Lytechinus pictus: one gene and its partners. The protein of the gene in region 3 interacts with the protein of the main gene of each other region in a pairwise test. Links are inferred from orthologs where the notes say so. Each region holds a gene or a part of one and is shown on either strand. Other genes may lie near its edges. The genes, in order: receptor tyrosine-protein kinase erbB-4-like, gamma-adducin-like and protein lin-7 homolog C-like.

The links.
Region 1: the proteins of protein lin-7 homolog C-like (region 3) and receptor tyrosine-protein kinase erbB-4-like interact in a two-hybrid assay, tested with the Caenorhabditis elegans proteins (3 studies listed by BioGRID). The link is inferred for Lytechinus pictus from reciprocal best matches to the Caenorhabditis elegans genes lin-7 and let-23.
Region 2: the proteins of protein lin-7 homolog C-like (region 3) and gamma-adducin-like interact in a two-hybrid assay, tested with the Caenorhabditis elegans proteins (3 studies listed by BioGRID). The link is inferred for Lytechinus pictus from reciprocal best matches to the Caenorhabditis elegans genes lin-7 and add-1.

The regions. Positions count from the first base shown.
Region 1 is NC_087245.1:2,233,134-2,240,473, reverse strand, and holds the start of receptor tyrosine-protein kinase erbB-4-like, read right to left. Parts: upstream 3,064-7,340; coding exon 2,991-3,063; intron 2,668-2,990; coding exon 2,305-2,667; intron 1,122-2,304; coding exon 984-1,121; intron 670-983; coding exon 604-669; intron 183-603; coding exon 64-182; intron 1-63. UniProt on the Caenorhabditis elegans protein: Tyrosine-protein kinase receptor which, upon binding ligand lin-3, activates 2 signaling cascades: the let-60/Ras and MAP kinase signaling pathway and the let-60-independent phospholipase C-mediated Ca(2+) signaling pathway.
Region 2 is NC_087256.1:11,546,663-11,554,461, reverse strand, and holds the start of gamma-adducin-like, read right to left. Parts: upstream 3,111-7,799; coding exon 3,075-3,110; intron 2,291-3,074; coding exon 2,060-2,290; intron 1,783-2,059; coding exon 1,540-1,782; intron 881-1,539; coding exon 704-880; intron 75-703; coding exon 1-74. UniProt on the Caenorhabditis elegans protein: Membrane-cytoskeleton-associated protein that promotes the assembly of the spectrin-actin network. Plays a role in time-dependent memmory loss and the retention of conditioned behavior over time.
Region 3 is NC_087253.1:11,784,767-11,792,141, reverse strand, and holds the start of protein lin-7 homolog C-like, read right to left. Parts: upstream 3,082-7,375; 5' UTR 3,018-3,081; coding exon 2,984-3,017; intron 479-2,983; coding exon 437-478; intron 1-436.

The DNA of each region.
Region 1 (7,340 bases), on a different chromosome or scaffold from region 3:
ATGACAACATGGTTAAGTGGTTTGGTAAATGGCACCCGCAAGAAGGTCAGGGTTCAAACTCACCAGACATCCAGCATTAGAAGAATTGGTGCAACCCCCAGCGCAACTTCTGTGGCAGCAGTCCGCCTGAGTAGGACCTCGACAACGGTAGTCGCATGTTGAGCTGCAATCTTTTAGCGTTACTATAGAGAGGAAAAGGGAAAGACTTAATATTTATGTGTACCAAGACATGAAAAGTAAAATCCATGGACAAATTTAGACATTTACTCACAAAAAGAAATTTCCAGTATTATAGGTTAGATGACAGAATGCCTTTCATTCAGCATTTGTGACAAGACGAGAATTTACCTTCCTGCAAAAAAATGTCATGCTTTATCTTTTCAAACATACAAACCATAGATCAAAGTTATTGACTGATAATAAAGTTTTGAGTGATTTGGAGAAAATAATAATGCAAAATCAATTGAAACAGCTTCCCTTTATTCTTCTAGAAATATTTCAAATATTATCTATTTCAATGGACCAAAATGTATAGAGCTTAATATCTTCATATTATGAATAAATAACTGAGGAGAATGATGATGTATTACATTGTCTACTCACATATCTGACAATGGTCCTCTCCTGGACCCCAGCATCGACCCTTGCATGATTCATGACATTGGTGTTCTGTGTAAAAGAAGATGAACAAAGATAAACATTAATAATTATAAATTACTTTAACAAGAGGAAGTGGCACTGACCTTGCACATATCAAATTGTGTATAAAAGAAGTACTTGCATTCCATAAATAAAAATTATGGATATGTATACCATATAGAATACAATGACTGCATTAGTAATCTTTAAAATACTCAGAGACAACGTCCCTATGTATCATTATTTAAAAATTTTCTCAACTAACAGATTTAAAGAGCAAAATAAGTTTATCTTTCTAAGTAGCTAATGCCTTTCTTGCTGTAAGCACATGAAATAGTCCTCACCTAAGCAGTTACGTTGTGGATGTTCATCCCATACTGAGAAGTTGGCTACCAAACCAGGTTGCATGTCATCCCAGGCAATGGTCTGTACATAGCACAGTTGATTATTCTGATGAAAGTATACATCTCCTTTCAAGATTTCTGCAAGAAAAAACACAATTTTAGCAATACTAGTTTAAAAATTGAATGAAACCATGATTAATATGATTGAATTCCTTTTTTAATCTTAAAATCAGTATGTTTAATCAGGGGAGGATCCAGGATTTTCCAAAGGGGGGGGGGGAATTTTTCGGAGGAAAATTTTGACAAGCCCCCCCCCCCCCAAAAAAAAAAAGGTTTTCAACAACAAATTAAGGATATTTCGTACCCGAAAAAATTTGACAAGCCAAAAAAAAAGGTGTTCAATTTCAAAAGAGGGGCCACACCTCTGTTTTCATGGCATTTTTACATTACAAATTTTTAATTTTGCTTCTCAAAAGGAAGGGGGCACGTGCCCCCTGGATCCGCGCCTGGTTTAATCATCATTCATCGATACGAGCGTTTGATTGGGATTTATGGAAGAAGTATGTGACAGTTCAGATCATGTCAAAAACATCAGCGTAGCAAAAATCATTGATCTGATATCACAGCTGAGAATTTAAGTGTACCATAGATATTACCTCGCCTTTGTTTTTAAGGATGCCCCATGCTGAAATGCTGAATCTGATCCAATTTTATTCTCCCTAAATGTACACATAGGCATCATTTGAATATTCCCAATATTTTAGTGTGCTTAAAGAACCAAGGAGGATGTTTAAACCCCATTATGCTTTTTTGTGTTAAACACCTTTTATGAAATACTGGTCACTACCTGTTTGAATGAACTACCCCATTGTCAAAAACCTATTTGGTGTTTCTCCTGTGGTCTTCTAGCTCATAAAACCATAGAGACAAAGAGGTTTTAGACCAATGGAAATATTTCAAATATATACCAAAATGGTGCATGGGCCAAGGAGCAGCTAGATATCAAGACTTCTTATTGATAGCATAGAATTAGACAGAGTGAGATTAGACCAATAACCAATTCAACACTCATTGTCTATTTCTTTTACCCAAGGCTATTTCAGAATCTCTGGAAATTGTTTCATTCAACTTGGCTGATTTTTCATATTATTCACTTCTGCTATTCAGGAGCCGATGTGGATCCAGGAAACATTCCCATCATTAATAGAATATTTATCTTTTAAGTTTTTAACTTTAAATAAAAACCAAAACCCCAAAAATAATACATGAACAAAGTATGACAACAAATAATAACTAGGTACATAGCTATCAATAGACTTACCATGTAATGATGTTAACCAAATCTCTTCTGTAGCTATTTCTGGATCTCCTGTATGAAACGTCAATGCAACATAGAGGGCGTACTTGTCGTCGTAAAGCTTTGTTCCTCTGATAACCCGTAAGTTTGTGAGCGGTATCACCCGGGAATACGTCAAGAGAATGAGAATATATCCTGTGACTTCCCGTATCGATGAGAGAAAGCTAAGATCATATTCTTGCTCATGGAGAAAGGATATTTCCAGGTTTCCGTCAACGTATGTACAGTTTGTATATCTTTCCTTTAAATCTTCATAGTACTGTTGCCTTGCTCCGGCAGTATCGCTGTTGTATGGTTTAGCGGTACCTTGATCTGTGCCAGTACATACTGTAAGAAGATAAAAACAAAAGAAACAAATTAAATACTGGTATGACAAATTTCAATTCTATAGCATGGATTAAGGGGAAGGTCACAACTAAATGTAGGCACTGTGAATGAGAATAGAGCATACAGAAATTATTTTTTATTGTATTCGGAAAATAATACAACTTAAACCCCTAAAACAGCATATCTTTAGCATTGATCATTATAACCACACTTGCCTGAGCTATATTGATCATAATGCACACTATTTCCCTCTGCACCCCCCTCCCTCCCTCCTCCTCTCCACCCCACCCCCCCCCCCCACCTCCCTCCTCCCCTCCACTCACCCAGGCACAAACTGCTGTGTGAGTCTCTGCTGAGCTTGTTCCATTGAGCTTGTTCTACTACATTCCAATCCATACCAATTGGGAATACTGGTATCAAAATATCACATCATTCTATCTTTGATGTGTTTCATATTTTGATTGAAACCTGTGTTTAGATACTCAGAAAACACACCAGAGACAAGTACCTGCCAGAAACCAGTTTTCACAGGTAAAACATAAACCTAATCACAGGTAAAGTAATACTAGTAAACTCTGTCTTCCAGGTATTAGAATTACAAAATTTATGTTTCCTATTCATTACACTATAATTGATTCATATTTCTATTAAATCGTATAATCTAAAGTGAAAGGGCACATGCTGCAAACAAAGTGAAGTAATTTTCCATAATTTGACATTATCTGAGTTAAAATCTATAAATGTTTCAGCTATTATAAAAAAAATTGCCTGTTTTTTATGAAGAAACTATTTGGTCAGAAATTGTTCCTGCCTTTCATATATCTTTGTATGCTAAAAATTAAAGTGTGAATACTAGTAATCATAACCTTGTGAAAATGCCAATGTGGTTACAAAAAAAAACCTGTAATTACAAAACATAAAAGCCAGTACCAATTGATACTGATTTTGCATCCATATAATTATAGCCTTCAAAATATAATACTCATATCATTTTCAGTGAGATTAGCTTAGGATCTGTGAAAAGTGGGTCATTTATTTGGTATTACGTCAAAGTGGCAATCCCTTGATACCTGACTTTGATATTGGGGTTGCTTTACACTATGATTGCCTGATATGGGTCAAAACCAGCTATGTCAAAGAGGGCATGTCCAGGTGTACTTTGATTTGGGATGAACATTTAAAAATCAAACCATCATTTAAACAAATGAAAAATTGATGCATTTTGGTGGTGGGTGAAAGGGAGGGGGGGGGGTCAGTCACGATTTTGGTGTATATTTCTGTAAATCTGTATTACTACAAACATCATTCATGTTGAGACAAAAGTGTTTGCAAACCTATCAAACTTTTGATATAAAGGAACAAACTGTGAAAATAAGATGGATACATTTTAAATGGTGTCATATTTTTTTAACGCAAACATGAAAAGAAACAGTTAAGTGTGTCACTCACTGCATGACAGCTCATATTGAAAGATAGTGGATGGTTGGAGTAAAATGGGAGAGGGGGACATGCCCCTTTACCCCTACAGCTATCGAGCCTAACCTCTGAACTTGTACGATCTGGCATTTCTTACAGGTGTTTTACCTCAAAAGATTTACAACACTAAATTGGGCTAGAAAAGAGAAAATATGATTTCATCTCTTCTGTTGTAATGTTAACCTGGGGATGCCACCATCAATTGATCTTGAAATTGGTAAAACAAAGTCTAAACAAGGGGTTGAATGTCTAAAAACAGAATTATATTCACAAATCCATCACCCAAGAAGGCTCTCAATAATATCTGACTGCATTCTTCCATACAAAGGTGTTCTAGGTTCCTACATATCCATAATAGTTTTACAAAGTCACTACAAAATCTTTGCTTATTAAACTGCGATTGAAGCACCTCTTTTCAAATTTAATTGGGTAACTTGAATTTAATTTCCACATTATCTTTATTTTCCTTACTTCCATGTGTCCATTATTTTTAATTGATGTAAGCTTTATACTTTACTTATTTTACTTCATCACTGTGTGAATATGTTTTAACATATGAGATGTAGGCTGAAACCAATATGGACCTACATGGTTTTACATTATAGAGATGCAATGTAAAAACATTGCAATTCGTAAGTTTTCCTGCCAGAATACGACTTGTCAAGGACCCATATTGTTGGGGGGAAGAGAGGGGTACAATTCATATAGGGCTTACATTACAGGCATCAGGTATCGGTCTAGTTTGTTGAAACAGAATGTGCAATAGCCACTACAAGAAGTAACATGAATCACATCAAATTAACAGAAGACACTGCAAAAACACTTGCAAATAAAACCCAAATAGGATGGGACAACTCCCAGTATCAAGTTCTAATTATCAACATATCATCAACAACCCCAAGGTCAAAGGTCATAGCAGGTCAGACAAGAATGTAACAAAACCTCACTAAATACTTGGCCCTCTTGTAACATAGCTGTAGTACCATGGCAACCTAAAGTTGAGTCATCCATTAAAAACTTCTTGGGTCATACACAGAAGAGTAAAGTATCTGACATTCAAGTTGTTACTTGATATCTAGGGTCTTGAAAGACAAGGGGTCAAGAAGGTATGTTGAAATTCTCTGTTTGGGAACATTGAGACATCAAGGAGACATTGAGGAGGCATGAATTTTTACAAATACTGGGTAAAATATCACTGTAGAGTTTCTGTTTTGTATACTTTCATCTACTTATGGTGCTGTTTTAGCTGTTTTGTGTACATGTAACAATTTAATGCATCTCTCATTCTCACTATAACCTTCTCACTCATCTTTTAATATATGTACATTCAGAAGACCTCTCGAATTTTATATATATGACCAGAAGAAGATGCTTTGAAAGTTCTTCTAAGTCAGTATGCAATAAACCTTAGTGATATTTCTATTTAAATAACAAGCAATGAAAAATCTACTGACCACATATGACTAAATAACTTCAGAATGAGCCAAAATTGAAATATATCGCGCAAAATACTTCCATTACTGAATAGAATTTTGGCCTGTCATGCCTTTTCAGAACCTTGCAGTCTTCCCATCAAACGAATATCAGGAAGGATAATTTATGAATTTTCTGATGTCTCTGCTTATCAACAAGTAATCAAATGATTTCTGAGATAGAGACTGGTAGTTATTCAACATCTCAGGAATGGAGCAATAGAAGATGAACAAATTTCCCAGAAGAATAAATGGCCTTAGATTTGACAAATGATCTCACTAATGATCACTTTCTTAATGAACCCCGCTTATCATATATGACGAGATCAGATGTCAATCACTCCCCCCCCCCCCCCCATGAAGGAAAGTTGGTCAATGACCCCACACGACCTCATGCTGACCTAAATTCCACAGAGGTCGATGTTGTGTTGTATCAAAAAGTCATCATAGTACTTCTACGTTATGTGTATTGAAGGTTTTTGTCAGCATACAGGCCTACACCACAACAGCTTTGCTGATGAAGTTTTTTTCCTCGTTTTCCTAGCTCAAATTTACTTTTACAATTTGAAACGCACTTGGGTACAAGACCTTCGTTTCAAATGTGACATTTTAATAAAAAGACAAAGTATTATTTACAAAGAAAAGGGCATCTATTCCACATCCCAAGGACTCAATATCATTACTCACACTTTAAAAATTGAGAGTCAAATATTTCTAGGAATGAAATGGGGGCAAGAAAATAAATTTCACTGCTTACCGGGATTTAATGCGCTGGTAATAATGAAAGCCGTGTACTTTCTACGAATGTGTCACTGTTTGATTACAACACACGATACCCTAAATGAATACAGTGGGCCAACCACAAGAAAAGATGAATTATTTTCAAATCAAACCATCACTGGTGCATAAGTGAAAGCTAAAGCCATAGCTGAAGGCAAGATGAAGGGGGTATGACAAGGGGGGTGAGAATGGCTTGGGGCTGGTGGTACCTTAGATGGGTGTATTATTTACACATCTTGGGTGTTCGGTATCACTTTATTTTTGGAGGTATACAGCCACGAGCTGCTATAGAGTATCTATCGCAATTCCATCAAGGATTTCTACTCAGAGTATACTGTTCAGTGTGTTTCCTTCTAAGCTTCTCCTAGTAGAATATAACATCTCATAGAACTATAGAATTCTGGTGATTGTCATTGTCAACACTTATTGCTATGTCTATATAAGGGTCTTCAAAGCGTAAGTTTAAAAGATTTTAGGCTCTTTGGCAGAGCTGACACTCGTACACCAAAGTTCATTTGATTTTTTTAAAACTTAGTCATACGACATGACAGTGAACACACTGAATGATGTTGCCAAATCTCGAATGGACCCTTCCAATGCTCTACATGTACATACAAATTTTCCTACCTTACCAAAAAGAAGAGGATGATTCTATTATTCTCAATCTCTAAATACTTCCCAAAAACATCATTAGTATTTTATCAAAGACAACATGATTTAACAAACATTTATTGTATTTGTGTCACTGTAAAGCATAATTTTCTACCAGCGTACTAAGTCTACGGTCACTTTAAGATCTGAAATGTCATAATATTCCAGCAGTTTCCCCAGTATTATCTAGATATTCAGGCTGGGTATCATCACGGCCCATTGTTTATGATTTTGTTTGGGGGACGTGTCCAGCGAGCATTAATCACACATATTCATTAAGAGGTGACAAAGATA
Region 2 (7,799 bases), on a different chromosome or scaffold from region 3:
TAGGCGACATCGCTGCGTGGTTTGGGGTCGGACCGCACCAGAGGGGCATGGTAGATGTAACCGGTTCTGTGACCCTAGGGAAAGAAAGGAAGGTACATGGTTAGGGAATTTAAACAAAACTGTATAACAATGATTGTGTCACAAGATTATGCCTCGAGTTGATTGAGCTTAGTGTAAGAATGGGAACGTCGTCAGACTTGAAACTAGTTCAGGAATAACATATGACTTCAAATTTTGCTAATTGCAGTGACAGTTCCTGCAAATTACAGTCTTCAATGAGTAGCAGAAAATTTAAGCATGTTTCATTTTTCACAGTCTTTTTCCAGTCCCTAAAAAGTGTTAAAGATGTCACAAAAAACCTTCTGGAGGCAAGAGACATCTCTATGACTCTACTTGATGCTGTTTGGCTCACATTAGAAACCACATGACTGCGTTCATCGAGACACCCCTCCCAGCCCTGACTTCTGTCAGTTTCCATGAGGTATTCCAGGCTTTGAACTTGGACAGTCGGACAGTCACGTTGATTTAGTTAAATATCTGTCAAGGGTCCTGTAACAGAGCTTAGCTTTGGTCATAGGGCTGATTTTGACAACTGCTTCTATTGCTCATTGCATACTATCAATCGAGCATATTAATGACACGATCAATCGCTAAGACTTATGTTGCAGGGCCCATTGCGCCTAAATATATGCCTTCATCCTACCATGTTATCCAATTGCCTCATCATGGCTTCAAACTCCAGCTCTCCCCAGCGCCACTTCTTGATCTGATCATCGCCTTGTACACCTCCACCTCCCTGGGAAGCGACCTCTCTGGTCTTCTCTGCAATCTCTGCGGACACCTTGATCAGTTGGTCTATACCTGCAGACATCGCTTGAACCTGAGGGGAAAAAGTGAAGAAAAGTTCACATGAGCTTTATCAATTCCTATAAAAAATGTTCCCTCAAACTGTTCATATCATTTTCGAAAGCTAAAAATACATTTAGAAGTCAAGATGTTGGAGCCATTATTTTTGCAATCAATCTCTGAAACATTTTTTTGTTTACCTCAGTCCAATTGATATCAAAAGATAAAGAGGTGTATTACTTTTACTTGTGTGTAGAGAATTCTCAGATGATGTCCTAGTGGAGGCTTTGACAATAACAATAAAAACAAGATTGATGCACAAGTTTTAATTGATTGTCCTCCAACATGTCTTCTTTTGGGAACGTTCTATACCTAATTCATTACAAAAACTGAAACACTGAACCTCACATTGTCACGAATGGTGGTGATCAAATGCTCAATTCAATAATCTGGGGAGCACTTCATGAAATGAATAGTCAGTAATTTTCACCATCTATTGTTATAAGCTACTGTAAATTATTGCATCTGATTGGCTGAGGGCAAAGAAGACAGTGAAAAACACTGAATAAAACTTTTCACGAAACACACCCCAGGTATTGGATGAATTTGAGCAGGATACTTAATAACAGACCTTAGAATAGAGGGAAATCTTCTTAAAGAAAGAACAAATAACCAATGACGCTTTGTACTAACCTGTGTATTACATGCTGCCATGACATTGACTGTAAGATAGTACGCCTCCTCAATGGTCTGTCCGCAGCATACAACACCATGATTACGTAAGAACAACACCCTCTTCTTGGGACCTAGCGCCCTGATGATGCTGTCCTTCTGTTCATCATCAATGACGATGCCCTTGTAGTCATAGTACGAAACCTCACCAAGGATGAGTGCTTCCTGGCAGATCGGCAGGAGGCCACACTCCATGGCAGATACCTAAGGATGAGACATGGAAGAACATGGTTACTTTGACGTATTAATCAGAGTAAGATAGTTGGGTTGAGGTTGAAGGATGTACTGAATTGTGCAAAGTGGACTACTGTATCTGATCCACAAGCCTCTTCACAAGGGGAAAATTAAACAAAGCAATGTAAAAGGTATGTATTCTCTCATACACTCTCCTTTAATAAGTGGAGAGGGTAGGTATTTTTGATCGAAAATGTCACGTCTCGACTTCTTTGTGTGACTTGGAGATGACGGCTACTATACTTACAGCAGCAACAACTGGTGTATGGGCATGAAGGATGCATTTGACGTCTGGTCTGGCATTGTGGATAGCAGAGTGAAGTGTGAAGCCGGCCAGGTTGGGGCCATAGGTCGTCGTGCCATGGTCGATGATGTTGCCCACGGAGTCGATCTTGATGAGGGATGATGCAGTGACCTCATGGTAAAGGAGGCCGAAGGGGTTGATCAGGAAATGGTCTTGCTCCTTGCTCACACGAGCCTACAGAAGTAGAGATTAAGAAATACAGTAATACTATGAGACATTTTATATAGTGTTAAATACAATGTTGCTCAGTGCTGCATATTACTATCCCAACATGGCTACTGTGAACAGGCACTCAATAATTCAATGAGCTCTTTATTACATCCATTTACTACACCTGGGTGGAGAGTGGCAAAATAAATGCCTAGCCGAGGGACACAGATGATGCAAATAGATTTAAAACCCAGATCTTGTGTTTCGAAATCCAGAGACTTATTTATCCACTGACCCACAACAATTCCAAAGATGACAAATAAAACAAAACGAAAAGAAGCGAGACGAATGGGAAACAGAAAGGCCAATGTTACAGTGAAGGCAGCAAGAGGAACTAGGAGAGGGAATTAGATCATAGAGACAATTATTATTTTTTTAATGAGGTCAAAAGAGAATGAGGGGGGGGAGATGAAATAGAAGATACAAGGAGAATTTTGAAGAAGAGAAGACGTAGTGATAACGTTAAGGGTCTATTATACACAAGAGTAGAAGGCACTCAAGGGAGAGAATGACGGAGTAGAATAAAGAAAAGATATAATTAATAACAGATTAATATCATTAGTGAGCAAGCGCTTTATAACATTAACACCTGTCAAAGCTAAATAACACAGAAGGTAATGTTTCATGAAGATGCAACTGGGTCACATAACACAAAGCTAAGCGATTGATTGTACGCTTGATTGTACATTGTAGTCTATCAATTTACCGTCAAAATTTATTTTGTGATCATTTCTAAGCTTTGTGTTACAGGTTCCTCTAGTTTCAGGCAAACATCAATAGCCATACACAGCAAGTAGTTATCCACTTTAAATACCGAAAGAGGGATTGCTTATTTCAAAAGCATAATCAAAATTAATTTTATTTCAAAGAAAACAATGTATAGAAGTTTTCACAATGTTTCCATCTTGCTTTTATATTGCTTAATCATTTCAATAGAATCACTAATTATTCTTGATAATAATACACAAAGAAAAAAAGATCAAGATTCATAAAGAGATCAAGAAAAGAGAGACTATCAATAGATGTACAAGAAGACAACAATTTTTCTTGTCTTGAAATTATTACTCAGTACTCAGAAGATGACATTCACGATCATATCAATCCACAGTCATTAATCTAGCCACAGTGTTTGTCTCAATCTGAAATAATGCGACAGTCTTTCTCCCCATGTATGAAGATAATAAAACAACTTTATTAGGTAGGCCTATAATATTATTTTCTATGCAATGAATGTTTTCTTCAGTTTTATTTTCTAAAGAGCAACAACCTAAAAGCATAAGGATCTTAACCTTAAAGCAAGATATCTGATGACGGACTACCAATACATTCTCCTGCTCATCACGATCACAACACTACATGTTCCCTTGCAGTAATCCATCCCTCCGTCTATCCAAGACTTCCGCTAAACTTCTTCCGTGCAGGCATAGCGTTTCATCATCACACCATGCTCCTCCCAGACAGTATCTTCTGCCTTGGGTATCACTGCAACCTACCCAGTCATTCACTTGGCGAGGGTATCAATGTCTCTGTAATTCATTTAGTCTTATTCTTACCATATGACTCAGTTAGGTAGACATCTAGTCATTATTTCACGACATGAATCATCCTCACGAAGGTGACATCATTTACATTCTTACTAGAGTACAACTTTTGAAAAAGTTACCCAACGACAAAATCAAAGGCTGACCGCATAAACAAGTGCCCTGAAAAAAAAAGCGTTTCCATGAATGGACATGCTGGACGTTTTTATTTATTCACAAGTCCCGTTTTATCCACCAGTTTCCATAGTAACAGTGCTTCTAGGCCAATCAAAATCAAGGAAAGCTATAAAACTTGCTGCACAAATGCCCCCCCCCCCCCGATTCAAGGATCCTTTTCTTCCAGGGGGGGGGGGTCCATAATTCTAAATTCATACCATCAAAACCGACTCCAAACCCACTAGTGGTATGTCAATGGGAATAGATTGACTAGTCTGATATTGTTGCTTGCGCGACTGTACCATTAAACTGATTCTGCAGTCATACTACAGTCTGGAGCCAGTTTCTTTGATGTGACAGGCTTCAGAATTACAACAGCAGCTCATGGATGAAGTCTCTTCCAAACATTCTTTTTTTTAAATGAAGTTTAAAATAAGCTAGAGTACTAATATAAAGATCTGATTTCTCTGAGACACTGAAGTAGTATGCTCTACACTGCCCTTAACTCCAACTCCCACACTGCTTGTTATCAATAACATTTTAACATTTTCATTCCATATTTTAAGCAAATATAGCATCAAAGGTCTTGAGAAATATCTCAAGTCACATAAACAGAAAGGGATCAGCTGTATATATCCGCATCATCCTTCCACTCGGTAATCTCTACTTCAATATATCCTTGTCTTTGCTCAGAGACATCCCAACTATCTTCCATCATCATGTCTCCTCTATCCCTACCAAACATCTGAGCAAGAAGAGGTCCAATCCAGCTCAGACCTCTTCAGACAAAAGATAAAATGTTGAATATTGATGGAAGGAGTTTAAGCATCATTTTAAATGAAAACTCCTTGTGTGAATGAGCTGTTATACAGTAAAAATGTAGCATTGCAAGGTTTAATCTTTTCAAATGATAACTCTTGGTGTTAATGAGCTAGTGCTACTGTATATCAATGTAAAGACTTAAGGCTAGCATCATTTCAAATGAAAACTCCAGTGTGAATGAGCTCTGAGACTGCGAGTCTGACTCATTCATTTAGTATGCCCATGTGAACCCTGATACATGCATAATGCACACTAAGCGAGGAAGGACGAAGAACATAGTCAATATTTGCCCAATGCCATTTCCATCAAGGTCCAGTGAGAGATGTATAATGTATAAAGAGATATAGCAGGTCTAAATATATATCATCATTGAGCTCATCAGACATCAGTACACAAAATTCATGTAGGCCTACATAAACAAAATATTGCAGTGTTCAAATGAATTGCTGCATCTCACAGCAGAGTTTATGTGTGAATTAACGATCCACAATGGATTGCAATATGAAATAACACTCCTGGGCCCCATCTTACAAAGAGTTACGATTGATCCAATCAATCTCAAGTATATGGAAATCCATTCATGTCATATATTTTTTTTTTGAAATTTGATCAATGTCCTTTGAAAACAAAGAGAAGCATACTGATTTTTCAAGAAAACTGTGAATGTATAAATATAAGTCATTTCTAGAAAGTATTTTGAACAAACATGTATTTCAGATGATGATGTTGCTGGCCTTCCATAGTCGCGATTGATCAGATCATGGACCTATGAAAGCTGGACATTCATCGGTTAGTTAATGAATTCACTAACATCTGACTGTCATTGTCATGTGAATAACATTCTCTTCATATTTATCTCCTGTGATACCATCATGGTCGCCGTCAATTAAACCATGAGTTACAGAAGCTTTCGGTGATTAGACATTTAACATTAGACAAATTGTATGCGCAGAAGGTAATAAATTGCCTGAATTCTCGGAAATTAATGTGCAGTTCTGGTTTACAAATGGTTATCTTAGTTCCATGGTTTTTATTTGGAAAAATGTATGAATATTTCAAGATAGAGGCTGAAATGAAATTGATTGATTGTAATTTATAATCACATTTTAAAGATTTCCTCATAATATTCCAAAGAAACATGGTGGGTTTCTTGTAGGGGTCGTCCCCCTCTCGTTGTTAGAAAAGTCACTATGAGTGTGCAGAAGCGTGCAAATCGATAATAATAAATTTGATATCACAAAAATCGTCTGCTTCTCAATTTGCTGTTCCAAATCTGAAACATCTTAATTGAAAGGTATAATCTGCTACAAGACATCAGCCAACAAACGGCAAAAAGAGCAAAACATTCCTTTGTGAAGATCAGATTCGCCTTGGTAGTCGCCATTGTCAAAGCACCTGTATGGTATCATTAATATGCACATAGTCAGGAGACGGCGACTATGATTGCATCAAAAGAATGCTCGCGTTAATCGTCTATTTCTTATAGGTCCATGATCAGATTAATCCCAACTCTTTGTAAGATAGGCCCCTGGTGGGTGTTTCATAAAGCTGTTAATTAAATTACATATGACTGGAACACGTTCCTAGGAGCCAAGTCAGTAAAATAGGCCTATGTCATTAAGAACAAAAAAGAGTCACCAATTGTATGTAATATCATTTGTAACTTACAGACATTTTTATGAAACACCCAACTGATTGGTTCCTAGTCAGTGTTATCAACAAAATGTGCAAGCAACAATGATCGTGATTGGCCATTACCACAAAGCAATTGATTGCGAATCTTTGTGTTAATGGGGCTTCCAGATTCCAATCTACATTTTCCCCATTGATTGATCTCAGTTGAGCCATCTTTTCCAAAATTGCTCGGTACATACACGCACATGCATGCAGACAACCCAATATGTTGGATTAATGCGGGCGACTTCCAAGGACTCATGTTATGCTGTTGACTGCGAAAGTGTAATATCTGCAAATGGCAAGGTAACAAGCCTATATTGGCTTACAGGTTGGATCATGAAAGTTTATGTATCACAAGCGGCACTTAGAAACATTTGTATTAAATAAAGCGAAGTATGCCTAACTTATCTGCTGATATTATAATTATTATTCTTATCATGTCTTTTATAGCGCTGCGTGTGTGGGGTCTAAACTCTTGAGTAATTAATAGACAGTCTATTACACTATATTTCTTTACATTTCATTCTATATTCACAAAAGTATTATAAACAGATTCTCTGAAGAAAAGAAACTGAATATGTGTGAGTTTTTTTAATAACTGATTGCAAAAGTAATCCCTATTTTGAGTAAAAAAATAAAGCATACATGATGATGAGCGCAATCAAGGTTCATGCAATAGCTCTATGGTTCATGTATAGGAAATACTAGTAACATGGCCAGGTTAAGAGAAATGATGAATTCATGGATGTTGCACATCTTTGTCTCTTATTTCTTCATCTTTCAAAGTACTTTGCCATGACAGTGTCCATAGAGCAGTGAAACATATTCATATCTTATTTTCAATTCCTGCAAAGGCTTTCTCTTAATGCTAGCACTGATCAAAATGATGGCTTGGGACACATCATTTCCGATTCCGGTAATCCTAGCCAGTTCATGTTGGTTAGCCGACCATGGAGTATTGAGGAGGCCTTGTGCAGCGAATGAATGCAAAGTAACGACTATTTGTGGGAAAAATGTGCCATTTTGCAGGCAATCAGAAGCACGTAACGATCATGTTGCTAATAAAGAATGATCAACCAAGAGTCTTCAAATGTGATGAAAATGTGTGATTGACAGACCTAGACGACATAGGCCGGCTGGTAATATTGAGTAATGAGTCATAAGTACACAGGTGAAATTAAAAGTGAAATGGGTCTTTAACACCAAGAGGAATTATCTAATCAATTCCTCCATATCTATACAGGATGTTAGGTTTGCACATTAGTACAATTGCATTT
Region 3 (7,375 bases):
AAAATACAAATTCTGGATATATTTTGTTCATCTACCCTGCCAACAGTACAGTAATCTCTCAATACATTATATTGTTCCACTGCTGGGTTTAATTGCTAAAATAATCTCTTTTTCTATTTTTTTATTCAAAGATCTAGTTTTTACATTACTGCATTATAGTGCTAAATTCCAGTTTCACAAATATCAAAATATGAAGAATTTCACAGATATATGATTTTATTTTGAAAACTTGGAATACTGTTATTATTCTTTGACTGATACATAAACCTTCACCAATATTTTTCTATATTTTTTTCTGCTTTGAACCATCTCACCATCAGGGCAAACATACATGTAGCCTTTGACTTTAGGATCTGGATAGAGGTTTTGGAAAGTGCTCAGTATGTATCTGTAATTTTTGTGGTACATGTACTTGCAAATTATATGATAAACTTACGTTGCTGTAGATTTTGAAGTAACTGTATTGCACGGCTGACATCTGATGGAAAATAAACAGAGACGTGATGACATGACTTTGACAGGAATCCCACATTAACTAAGTACAATCTCACACTTTACTCATTTGTAAAAAGTACAGAAATCCCACAAAATATATTATTTCAAAAGCATGAAAGACAAGATAGATCTAGAGGTCAAGATTGATCATTTATTTTAAAACAAAGAAGGGGGAGACAGTACCATCACAATTATAAAAAGCATGGTGATAATAATTACCAGCCTTCCTTTGATTAAAAAAAAAAAAAAAAAACCCAGTCAGTCTTCAAAACAATTATTATTCCTGTTTGTTTTTATCGAGAAGTAAAAATCTATTCCGGGCACTGAGCTTTCCTACCAGTCATGCCCAACAAATAAAAAGCATATTCTATAATCTATAGACTCTTTATCATTCCAAGCTCACAGCCCGGCCCAGGCCCCAGCTAACACAACAACAGTTCCATTGGCAGATCTAGCGAGCAGAATCAGAAAGTCAAGGGTGTAACAGGGGGGGGGGGGGGGGGGGGTGACAGGAGCAAAAAATTTCCTGGACATATCATGGTGTCAACAGGATTTTTCATGATGGTAATAAAATATGCGAGCATTGGCGCGTAGCTCTATGTGGGATTAGCGTGACGAGTAAAAAGAAATCAAGGGGCACCGCATGGCGCTTGTGGCAAAAGTTTCATGATAAAACTTCACTTTTTCATTACAATCTTACTTTTAGGGTCTTTATCTCTCTTTTCTCCTCTTCATTGTTCTTGGTTGTAATAATAATTATTTATAATCAAGTTTCAAATTTTATCATTTGTTAAATGATAATTTTTATCAATAAATTGTTCTTCAAGACGGTATTTTGTACCATTGCTTATCGAGGCTACGTTATAACGAAGCGGTTCAAGGGCCAAGCCTTATGTATTGCGGTGTTTACGAATGGAATGAGGGATCTAAACGAAATCGGTCTGGTAAGAAACCTCTGATTTTTCATATTTATACTAATAGTTTTTTTGCACCTTCATACGCATTAGGCATATGAAGGTGTATACAAATTTATGTGATTTGTAGGTTTAAAGATGGATTTCCTAATATCCTATGGAAATCAATCAATGCTTTGATGTCTCGCTTCGCCTGTTTCAAGGCTTCATGATGAATAAGTATATGTCAAAATATTAAAAAATATAATCACAAAGTCCTCAAGGCCAATGCCCACCGTTTTTCCAAATATCGTGATCGGGAACGTTTAATCTGGCCCCGTTCTCGACGATCTATTCTAAGTAACTGCTCCAATTTGAAGTTAGCAACCAAAATCATGCGAACAAACATGTGAGCTGCCGCAGGCATATCTTTTGGTTGCTAAGTAAGGGCAAGGCCTATGTCTGACCCGAGAACCCGGGGGGGGGGGGGGCACTTACATTGACGAGTGGATACCATGCGCGACCAAAAAAACACGTAAAAAGGGTGTCTTTTTCAAGATAGGGCACGTTACGTATGTAACTTAGTAATAAGGGTGTCAAAAACACTAAAATAATGAAAAAAGGGTATCTATTTTCGCTAGAAGAGCTACGTATTTAGGGTCAAATTTGGGAGGGTATAGAAAATTGGGACTAAAATGTTTTTTATAAAGGATGTACTTTTTGCCCCAACAATCAACACTACGTGTTTAGAGTACGATTTACGCGAGGTGTGGAAGGTGAAGCCGTACTAAACCCAATTAATGATGTAGTTAAACTTAAACTAAGGTAAAACCGACGACCGACCTCCATGGCATAACAATTAAAATATCGCTGTACTTGTTTAGGGGTTCAATTCAGGGAATACTTGCCAAGTCCAAGAGTATCGTTTTGTTTCCAATACTTGTTATTAAGGGTAGGGTTTAACATGCTAATACTTGTTAAGGGGTGCATTTTCAGCATATGGAAAATACGTGTTTAGGGTGCTTTTTGAGACCCCATGGCCATGGTCGCACATGGTATCCACTCTTCAATGGAAGTGCCCCCCCCCCCCCCAAGAATTTGAATAACGTCGAGATCGGAGCCAAAATGTAAATTCGCCGTTCCCGATTTGGAAAAGCAGTGGGCATATTCACCTCGAAGTGTGAATGAGAGACTTGCATTTTGCAAACAATATACTGGTGGGAAATTTGCCTGAAATCGGTAAGCGCGAAATTGCATTAGCCCCGGACAGTCAGAGAGTCAGCTCCGCCAAACTCTCAGCGAGCTCTTCGTCATCACCTACCGGCCACCTCCCCGCCCCGTTGGGGCCGATATGAACGTTCGCACGACCCCTCCTTCCTGTAAACATCAGCCAGTGCAGTGGGTTGCAAATGCCGGACCGTAGCGTAGAAACTCCCAGAAAACACTCTTATTTCCACACTTCCTCGTAATATCACACATTGAATCCCACTTTATAACAATCCTTAGATAATGCATATGTATGAAATAAGTAAATAAACGTAAATATTCATAAATTCTCTGATATATTGGCAAAAACATAATCGTTAGTGTTTTACCTCTGTCGAGTGTAAGTTCGCCTGTAGAAGCCATTTTGTCATCTGATCTCGGATGACGTCATCATTGTACTGTACACACACATCGAATGCATGAAAAAAAATCTGCAAATCTGGCAGTAAAGAGCAAGTTGGGAGCAATGTGCTTCAAGGATTAATCAGAAGAAAATATGTGGCAAAGGGAAGGGTGGAATTACAACAACAAAAAATGGTTGGAAAAGGAAGAGAACAGAAAAATAAAAGAAACGGGAAAAGAGAAAAGACAGCAACGCCCGCAGCAACGTATACGAAAATTAATAGAAGACAACAATTAAAAAACTGAAAAAGAAGAAGAAAAGATAACAGAAAACAGAAACTTTGAAAATGAATGAAAAGAAAAGGAAAGAAAAGAAACGAATAGAAACGAAACGAAAATAAAAGAAAAGAAAAGAAAGAAAGAAAGAAAGACAGAAAGAAAGAAAGAAAGAAAGAAAGAAAAGAAAAGAAAAGAAAGAAAGAAAAGAAAAGAAAAGAAAAGAAAAGAAAGAAAAGAAAAGAAAAGAAAAGAAAAGAAAAGAAAAGAAAAGAAAAGAAAAGAAAAGAAAAGAAAAGAAAAGGAAAGAAAAGAAAAGAAAGAAAAGAAAAGAAAAGAAAAGAAAAGAAAAGAAAAGAAAGAAAGAAAAGAAAAGAAAAGAAAAGAAAAGAAAAGAAAAGAAAAGAAAAGAAAAGAAAAGAAAAGAAAAGAAAAGAAAAGAAAAGAAAAGAAAAGAAAAGAAAAGAAAAGAAAAGAATGAAAAGAAAAGAAAGTAAAGAAAGAAAAGAAAAGATATAGGTCCTGAAAATATGTACGATAAAATATGAAAAGAGGAAATTAACAAAATAATAAAAGATGAAAGGTAGGCCTATATCTAAAGGCCTTTGATTATACAGGAGAGAAAAGTAAAACATAATCCCCGCGGAGCCAAAAGGTAAAAAGAAATACAGCGTCGAGGTCAAGGAATATATTTGCAGACAAAATAAGAGAAAAAGAAGTAGAAAAATAAAAACTATATATATTGGCGCTATATGAATGCCTATATCATTATCCCCGAGAAAGTCAAAGTGAAACCATATAGGCGAGCCCATTATGGGGCAAATTCATTGGCTGGGGGTGTAGCTCCTGCATCGATCGCGGCCGCACCTCGAGCTGCAACTGCTGACAATAGGCCTTATAGGCCTATTTTTTAATTGATTATAATTTTAGAACTGAAGAAGAGAAAACAACAAGAAGAAAGGAATTGAAAAGCATGTGAGTATAACCCTACGGTGAGTTGAGTTGCATACTTGCATGGCCCACAGCATCCCTAGCTGTTTTATTATCATTATTACTACTGATTTGATTGTTTTGTTTTCTTCATGGAAAAAAACAAAATCGATTTTATTTTCTTCAGGTATCCTCCTTATCATACACTGCTTTTCTTTTCAGTATAGTTTCTCTATTATATAATTATTGCATAATAAATTGTCACCGTTTTTTTGGCAGTCAAACCAAGTTACAGATGTAGTTTCCCTTTTCATGATTCTGTATTTTGTTCTTTGCCATTTACCCCACCCCCTCTCCCTTGGGGGGGGGGGCATGGTCCACTATTATAGTGCACTAACTGAACAAAGTTATAGAGAACGGCAAAATGACGGAGGTCCCTTTCAGGGGCGGATCCTGGATTTTCCAAAGGGGGGGGGGGCACATTTTTCCGAGGATGAATTTGACAAGCAAAAAAAAGTTATCACTTACAAAGGGAGGGGGGCACAATTTTAATCCCCTCCCCCCCCCCCCCCCATTTATTAGCCATTATTAGTCAAGAAGTTTTCATGAAACGCTTAATTCCCATGTAATTTCGTGTTTCCATTCAACTTAATGCGAAATGAAAATTGGAATACTGCCCTCTGCGGTGACTCTTTTGCTTAGAACTTTTTCGTTTTCATTATATTTTTAGTGATTTTTGTTTCACTTTCTCTCTCTCTCTCTCTCTCTTTCATTCATTCATTTTTTTGTAGAACTTTCATCTACCCTTCACATGTTTTCTTCCGGGTATTTCTTTTATAGCTTAGCCACGTTTTCTTTCTAGAAAACCATGAATTTTTCCTTAATTCCCCATCAAGCTTTTATTCTTTTGCAATATCTTGCTCCGACTTTTCACTGTCTTTTTGTAATTCCCAAATCAAATCAGATACAAAAAAATGAATTATAAAGTATTTAAAGGGATGGTCCGGGCTGGAAGTATTTATAGCTTAATAAATAGAGTAGAATTTACTGAGCAAAATGCCGAGAATTTTATCAAGATCGGATAACAAGTTTATTGAATTTTAAAGTTTAGCAATATTTTGTGAAAACAGTCGTCATGAATATTCATTAGGTGGGCTGATGATGTCACATCCCCACTTGTTCTTTTGTATTTTATTATATGAAATTAGGTTTATTAACTTTTTTCTCCAAGAACTAGAAAAATTGGATTGACAACTGATTTAGTGCATTAGATATTTATTGCTGCAACTTATTTCATTATAAGGGAGACATATCATTCACACAAGGTAAGTATGAAATAATGAAAAAATTATGATATTATGTAATAACATAAGAAAACGGAAAGTTGGGATGTTACATCATCAGCCCACCTAATGAATATTCATGACGACTGTTTTCACAAAATATTGCTAAACTTTAACCATCAATAACTTTATTATTTGTTATCCGATTTTGATGAAATTTTCGGCATTTTGCTCAGTGAATTCTACTCTATGTATTAAAATATAAATATTTTCAGCCCGGACCATCCCTTTATTTGGTTAAAAAAAATCACTAACCAGCGGATCATAATTTATGACCCTTTCCCCCTCCTTTTCCTTTAATCTATTACCTCCTTTCCACATAATCCTTTAATATGGTTTTCATGACCCGATTTACCCCATTCCCCTCTTTTTTATTTATTTTTTATTATGCAAACGCATTTTATATGTTCCATAATCATGCAGTCTGTATACCTGCTTTTCTACTACGTCTTTAGACCATTCCCTTCTTTTATGTATCACTTTTTTTCTCAAATACTTTGTCTCGATACGGATCCAGATCCAGATATTGCTCTTTCAGTCGGCACCACCCCTCCCTAAAAACGGGGAATTACGACAGCAATAACAGGATAAAAACAAATCATATCACAACAGAGAGCAATTATTATTTTTATTCATTTTTTCTGAATCAGCAATATTATTTTTTATTTTAAGTGCGTTTCCATCAAACATTTTCAATAAAACTTAAACAGAATGTTTCAAAACAGGCACATTGAGTAGATTATCAGTTACAAAGTGTTATTTCTCTGACGCCAAACCACCGGCCCAATACCGGGAAGAGTCAATGAATACGTACCACAATGTGAAACACTTGTGAAACCATGCCCCCTTCACACTTAAATTTGATCATTTCAACAATGTGCATCCCATATTCACATAATCGACCATGTGAACAACCACCAACGCTGCCAGTTACTACACTGTAAAAAAAAATTAGTAGAAATTACTTAATAAAATTGTGGCAAAAAATTGCCTTAATTTTTTCAAGTATTTATGACTTTGGCAGTTTTAAGTAAAATTTACTTATTTTCTTTGCTTCCATTTTACTCAAGAAAATTAAGTTACAATAACTTAATTCAATTAAGTAAAACAATCACTAAAATATTTGAAAATATCAAATGGGGGAGTGGATGGACTTTCGTGATTCGAAAGTCCGCTCCCCCATCGTCCCACTTTTGGTGGCATCATTTTCATTTTATACATGTTTTATCCAAATATTAGACTTTGTGAATTGTCACTTACCTGTACATGTATAGGTACTGACATTGATATTTATACGCGATCGTTTCATTCTTACAAATAAAACAGTGAGAATAATTTTCTGCTAAATGACTATTTAATGTTGCCTTTTCTTTGATTCAACAAAAGAATACAATAGTTAGCACACCCTTATCCAAAACAATTTCAAACACAAATAGAAATGACAGTTATTAAAAAAAAAAAACATTTACTTGCTCTAATGAATATTCATGCATTATTTAAATATGGCGTTAATTGAAAATATAAATACATTCAACATGATTTTATAAGTAATAATCATCTTTGCCTAATTGAGTTAGATTTACTCAATCAAAGCAAGATATCAATACGTGAATTTTCTTAAATGTATATTGAACCCAAATAAATCAAGTAAATCAAGTAAATTAAAAGACAAGTTGAAACTACTTAAAAACAACAAAAAATAATTACAAATTGTAAATTCTACTTAAATACATTAAGTGTTAACTACTGATTCAATGTTTTTTTTTTACAGTGTATTGCTCTTATATTCCTATACATAACAATTTTTTTACTATTATATATTTTGATTTT